2 linked regions of the Rattus norvegicus genome follow. The protein of the gene in region 1 interacts with the protein of each later gene in a pairwise test. Links are inferred from orthologs where the notes say so. Each region holds a gene or a part of one and is shown on either strand. Other genes may lie near its edges.

Region 1 (2,808 bases):
CATTACGACATCAGTGCTGACAGTAAACAACAAAGCCCACATGGTAACCCTGGACTACACAGTGCAGGTGCCAGGTGCTGGCAGAGATGGCGCTCCTGGCTTCAGGTATGGCATGATTTGGCAGGAGAGGTGGTGGTGGGGGAGACTTGAGGCCAGCAGCCCTCATTATTTGGCTGGGGGCCCTGTTGCAGTAAGTTTCGGCTCTCTTACTACCCACACTGTTTGGCGTCTTTCACGGAGTTGGTCCAAGAAGCCTTTGGGGGCAGGTGCCAGCACAGCGTCCTGGGTGACTTCAAGCCTTACAGGCCCGGCCAGGCCTACGTTCCCTGCTACTTCATCCACGTGCTCAAGAAGACAGGCTGAGCCTGGCTCCGGCTCCCACCCTAAGACCATCGCCTACCACAGATATTGCAGAGATGTGGGGGGCAGGCAAACAGGGAGTCGACAATACAGCCTTCCCTTGCCAATCCTGTGCCCTGTGTTTCTTTCAGAAGTAATGTGGTGTTCATCCCACCTTCCCTAGACCTTACTCTTCCCATAACCTTGGCATTTGCACCGCAACCTCTCACAAGACCAGCAGGGGGCAGTATAGACTTTATTTTCTGTCTGAGAACTGGGGCCTCAATGCCCATTCCAGGCTGCCACGCCCCCAAGCTGCCAGCCCTGCCTCTTCTCCTGGGCACAAGGGCCTCCCACTAGGGATCTCAGGGTATCTCCTGGAGGGAGGCAGCCTTCAGGTGGCAGGTGGCAGCTACCTCCAGCCAGGTGGGCTTTTGCAGGCGGCAGGAAGCTCCTAGCAGGCAGCAAACTTGCGTTGGATACGCTTGTATCGCAGCAGCTCCTGCTCGCTGACTGAGGGCTGCAGCCGGGCTGCGGCCTGCAACAGGTCCTCCATGGTGAGCAACAGTGCTGAGCTCCGAGGCTCCAGCCCTGAGGGATGGCGAGGAACAGTGAGGCCAGAGCCCTGACCCCAGCTGTAATCTATGCCTAGGTAGGAGAGCAACCTGGGGAGGTGCCTCCTGCTCAGCCGTTCCTCTGGAATTCCAGGACTGTCTCCCCTAGTTTCTTGGTTCCCGTCTAGTGCTGGCAAGGGCTCACCTTCCTCTAGGTCTCGGACCCTGCGTTTGAGGGCGGTCATCATGGCGTCAGAGCAGAGAGAATAGAGGTCTGCGCCGGTCAGCTGAGGCGGGCAGCAATCCAGCACATTCATCAGGCTCACAGAGGCCTCCAGCTTGAACCTATCATACCCACACCAGAAATGTTAAAGCTGGCCTCACCCTCAGAAGGCACACTGACTGGCACACATCCCCCTAACCATCCCAAGCCCCGCCCCAGCTCTGACAGCCCCGCCCCAGCTCTCTGACAGAGCGTACTTTCGTGTGATGGCGCTCAGAACGCGCAGCTGGGAGGCCCGGTCCTCACTTGCTCCTACAAACACCAGCTTGTCAAATCTTCAGAGAGATAGAAACAGGAAGTGTCAGGGCCGCCACATGGGAGGTGAAGGAAGCACAGGATAGAGGTTAAGGAGAAAGGTCCAGGGGGCTGGGGATTTAGCTCAGTGGTAGAGCGCTTACCTAGGAAGCGCAAGGCCCTGGGTTCGGTCCCCAGCTCCGGAAAAAAAAAAAAAAAAAAAAAAAAAAAAAAAAGGAGAAAGGTCCAGGATGCCCACCTGCCAGGCCGCAGAAGGGCAGGATCCAGGAGGTCTGGTCTGTTGGTGGCTCCGATCACAAACACATCCTGAGTGCTGTGAAGCCCGTCCAGCTCAGCTAAGAGCTGAGACACAACTCTGTACGGGAGGGGGAGGCAAAGGCCAGAGAGTCCTTGCTGTGCCTTCAGACTAAGGTGCCTTGCCGAGCCCTGCCCCATGTCCCTCCCCACACAGGTGAGCCTCCTCAAAGCTCCCATGTGTTTTTGGCCTCCCTTCTAACTCTGAACCGGAAGAGCAGAACTCCTATCTTAGAGACCTGATCTGGACACTGATGTGACTAATCTCACGTTCCTCCCTTCTGGGATCCCAGACTCCATTACCAGTCGAACCCCTGACCTGTCCATCACACCTCCAGAGTCTCCACTCCGTCCACGGCTCGGAGCTAAGGAGTCCAGTTCATCAAAGAAGATGATGCACGGGGCAGCAGCCCTGGCCCTGGCAAACACTGAGAAAGAGGCTTGAAGTCAGGGGAGGAGGATGGCAAGTGGGCCTGACTTCCATTCCACCCAGACAGTTGCCCAGCTGGGGCGACTGTGAGCAGCAGCTGGGGAAGATGGAGGCACAAGGCTGCTGGAGTTGGGGAAGGGCCCGAGGCTGCCTCTCCCTGCTTACTCACCTTCCCGAACATTCTCCTCACTTTGGCCCACATACATGTTGATGAGTTCTGGCCCCTTTACACTGAGCAGAAGAATGAGCAAGTGAGACCCATCAGACATGCACAAGACCATTGTCCTCCCCCTCCCCACTTGCCACAGCTCCCCCCACCCCTACCTGTTACACCCCCCACCCACTACATCTTCCCTTCCCTCCACCTGCTGCAACCCCCCTCACTGTTACAGCCCCCCTCCATACCTATTACAGCTCCCCTCCCCCACACACACCTACTACAGCTCCCCTCCCCCTACACCTGCTAGAGCTCCCAGCCTCCCACCTTCTGTAGGAGCCCTGCCAACCTGAGAAAGGTGAGGCTGCACTCAGTGGCTACCGCCTTGGCCAGCAGGGTCTTGCCAGTGCCTGGGGGCCCATGGAGCAGAAGGCCTGATCGTCTTAGGCCCAGGCTTAGCAGCTCAGGGTGTTCCAGAGGCAGTTGGATGGTCTCC
Region 2 (3,650 bases), on another chromosome or scaffold:
AAACCCCTATGCAAACGATGCCTCTTTTTATTTTTAAGCTTTTAGTATTTTCTTTTGAATTGCTTAATGAGTTGTGCAAGGAAGTCATTCTCATTTGGTTTGGATTGACTCTTCAGATCTGATTTGCCTGACTCACCCTGTGATGACGCTCTGTCCCCTGGCCAGGTTCATTTCCCCGTAAGTTGCTGTCACTGCTGATGCTGCTTCGCCGCCTTTGTGGCTCTGCGGTGAGCCACCTTCTCTCCCAGCCCTTTAGAAAGGGCCTCCTGGCTGCCTTGATCCTCTGTCTCTTGGTTCTACGGTTTGATCCAGGTGAGTGAAGGGGTGTGGCGGCAGGGTCTGTGAGAGCCTGGGAGGGCGCCACCTCCTGTGATATTGAGCCTGTCCCACAAAGAACTAGAGTCTACCTCACCTGGGGGGGAGACCAGGCCCAGATCCTAGGAGAGCAGTTGGAGAACATTTCCCTGCTGCTCTGCATGCCGATGGACTCACCTGGGCCCTGCTCCATCCAGGGGTGACTTCTGATCAGAATGCAATGCTAAGAAGCTTTCTCATAGTAAAACCTAAATTAGTTAAGGTCTCCTGGCTCGTGTAATGACCCTGAAATCGTAAGTGAAAGTCTGACATATTTTAGACGATGTGGGGGAAAAAATGTGAAACAGCTAAATGATATTCTGGTTTATAGACTTTTCCCCTGATTGATATGTGTCAGTCCTTTGGGTGATTAATCTCTTCTGCCTCACTGTGGAGTAGAGGTGAGACTCGGGAAAACACCTGTGTAGTGGACACTCAGATATGGGACTCTGGGCCACAGTTAGGTGACTGACTGCCGTTCGAGAAACACAAAAACAAAAGACAAGTCTTACTGTATAGTGCAGAATGGTGTCGAACCTTCTGTCTCTGCCTCCCAGATGCTGGGGTTGCAGGCGTGCACCACCAAGCCAGACTTTCCGAGTCACTCTCTGTGGGTTGTGAAGCAGTCTGTACTTTCTCAAGAATTTAGATGTAGATAGGATTGTGCAACTTTCAAAACCAAGGAGAAATGAGAAGCCTTTAATTTTCTTTCATTGTTGGTTGAGAAATCTAATAACCAGAGTGACTAGACCAGAGCCACACAGTTCGCCTGGTTTTAAACCTTTGACTTTAGGTCCCTGTTTTCCTCACCTCCCCTCTCACTTGTTGGACTCTGAGCAGGAATGTCCTCTCTGGACAGCTCTGTTGGTTATACAAGAAAGCCACCAGCAGCTTCCAGAAACAGGACAGAAATGAGGGGTGAGCAGAGACACCCCTACCGTGGGAAGCACATTCTCAGTGCTGGAAAAACACGTTTGAAAAGGGGAAGTTCAGTTCCTGTGATTTCCCATCTGTCCTTGACTCTCTACTTTGCATAGTTGATAAGAATTTAGTAGAAGTTCCTTATGACTTCCCCTAAACCCTGATCTCCTAAATGGTGACCAAGAAAACCATTCAAACTTGGGTGTGTACTGAGCAGCTCTCCTCAGGAGAGGAGGACCCACATGGGGGGTGGGTGGCGCTGCAAATAGAATTTGGGGAGAAGGTCAGTTACTTTAAAGAAAAATAACAGGTATGGAGGGCTGGGCATGCATGTGGCATACATACATGTAGGAAGGACTGGGTTGCATCTCCAGCCTTAGAGGAATAAACACCTTTCTTCCCACTGCTCCCACTATGCAAGCATGCGTGTGCGCATGTCTATATGTGTTTGTATGCGTTTGTGCATGTGTGTGTATGCATGTGCGCGCGTGTGTGCACTGTTGGCTACTCCACATGGTGATGATAAGGATGACAGTGGCCAGGGATTAAGTTGAGGCCCTCAGCCCTGAGGAGTGACTATTCTGTCACTGAGCTGCAGTCCCAGCCCTTCTGCTGTAGTTTTTGAGTCTCTTCACTTGCCTTGGGGTTGCAGGTATGTGCTACCCCATGCCTGGCTTTCAAGTGAGTATTTAGGATTCGAACTTAGGTCTTCACACTTTTTGGCAAGTACTTTACCGAGCCATCTCCTTAGCCCTAAACACTGCTCCCCCCACTTAGAGGAGCAGGTCTGTGTGTGTCTCATAGCCTTGCCCAGGCTGGCCTCCAGTGCCAGCTGAAGCCCCTGTCCTAGCTCTCTAAGGTGCTAGGGTGTTTAAGAGAGAAATATGTATTCCTTATTTTGGAGGCCAGGGATGAGCTCAGATACCACACTTGCCTGGTATGTACTAAGGCCTGGGTTCAGTTCCCAGCACCACAAAGAACTTGGTGTGGTGGCTCCCACCTGGAGTCCCAGCATTAAGAGGCGAAAGCAGAAGGCCCAACTCTGTCATCCTTGCCCAACCTGGCCAACCTCCCCAAATCAAACTAAAAGTAGAAATATGTATTTTTTAAGTCTGTAATCCAAACAAGGAAACGAAACAAATGGTAGTTTTTTGTTTTTTGTTTTTTGATTTTTTTTTTTAAATTTTCAATGTCGTTAATTCGTGGTAAAATACGTCAAACTGTCCTAAGGCTTCAAACTGAAAGGCACAGAAAGGCAAAAAGTGCAGTGAAATTTTTCCAAATGGCTCTCCCTAGTGGTAGACGTTGCTCCCATGGTTGTTAATTATTTCTTTCAGGAAGTGGAGTTGGGGCTTAACAGACATTTTTTAGACTTAAAAAATATGTATGAGGCTGCATATGTGGATGGGTACCACATGCATGCCTGGTTTTCTTGGAAGCCAGAAGTGTCAGATACCCTGGAACTGGTCGTGAGCCTCTAATGTGGGTGCTAGGAACTGCACCCAGGTCTTTGCAATAGCAGCAAGTGCTCTTAACTACGGAGCCATCGCTCCAGCCCCGAAGAAAAATTTTAACAGAGGCCTAAGCATGGAAAGTTAGGAAAGAGGCATTTGGAAGAAAGCAAGACACACCTGAGACACGCCCGACACCAGAAGCTCGGTGTAGGCTTCTGAGAGTCACCAGCGGTTGTGTAAATGCCAGAATGATTAAGATGTAATAAATCTGGATTTTTTTCTAGAATATTTAAAGTTATTGTAATTCAACTGGAAAAAAAATTTTCAGAGAAAGTGAAATTTCTTGTTGCCGAGGAGGCTGCGAATAGCAGGAAGCCTGGCTGTGTTTTCTAGCTGCCTCGGAGGGGCTGAGGGAAGAACACTCACGATAGTCTCTCCTTTCCCACAGCAGCTCCTTCTTCACTGCCCTTCCTCTACCAGCTGACCCAGCTCTTCCGCCGGATCCAGAAGGCCACGCTTTCTCGGCTCTACCCGCTCACCCTCCGGGACTGAGTGGTCCTACGTGGCTGCCTCTGCTTCTTACAGTCCCCATCTACAGAAGCGGAAAAGCCGAGCCCAGTGGCTGGGTCCCAGATGGCACCATGGCAGTGGGCCCATTCGTTCTAGGAGGAGGAGCCAAGGCGGGAGAGCCATGGCTTGCCTGTGAACCCGCCCTTCCGTATCCCATTGTGGCTGGCCTCAAAAGGAGTGTGTGAACAGTGGTGCCCGAGGCCAGCGCACAGAATTCTGCACAGCTCCTCAAAAAGAAGGGGTTTAGGAGCAGGGACTGGGTCTTGAGACATTGTGGTTTCTTGACAAAGGCAGAGGGTGACCTTCCAGATCGGGCGCTGGAGGAGCTGCGATTCACAAACGCGGTGGAGC

What was found. The genes of interacting proteins can lie anywhere in the genome.
Region 2: the proteins of Pex6 (region 1) and Pex26 come close enough for resonance energy transfer, tested with the Homo sapiens proteins (2 studies listed by BioGRID). The link is inferred for Rattus norvegicus from reciprocal best matches to the Homo sapiens genes PEX6 and PEX26.

The regions. Positions count from the first base shown.
Region 1 is NC_086027.1:21,755,170-21,757,977, forward strand, and holds the end of Pex6 (peroxisomal ATPase PEX6), read right to left. Parts: coding exon 2,662-2,808; intron 2,387-2,661; coding exon 2,325-2,386; intron 2,154-2,324; coding exon 2,045-2,153; intron 1,787-2,044; coding exon 1,670-1,786; intron 1,452-1,669; coding exon 1,374-1,451; intron 1,239-1,373; coding exon 1,099-1,238; coding exon of another isoform or gene 931-1,098; coding exon 794-930; 3' UTR 582-793; downstream 1-581. Other genes in the region: Gnmt (glycine N-methyltransferase), read left to right, coding at 1-523. UniProt on the Homo sapiens protein: Component of the PEX1-PEX6 AAA ATPase complex, a protein dislocase complex that mediates the ATP-dependent extraction of the PEX5 receptor from peroxisomal membranes, an essential step for PEX5 recycling.
Region 2 is NC_086022.1:156,093,348-156,096,997, forward strand, and holds part of Pex26 (peroxisome assembly protein 26), read left to right. Parts: intron 1-165; coding exon 166-312; intron 313-3,177; coding exon 3,178-3,281; 3' UTR 3,282-3,650. UniProt on the Homo sapiens protein: Peroxisomal docking factor that anchors PEX1 and PEX6 to peroxisome membranes. PEX26 is therefore required for the formation of the PEX1-PEX6 AAA ATPase complex, a complex that mediates the extraction of the PEX5 receptor from peroxisomal membrane.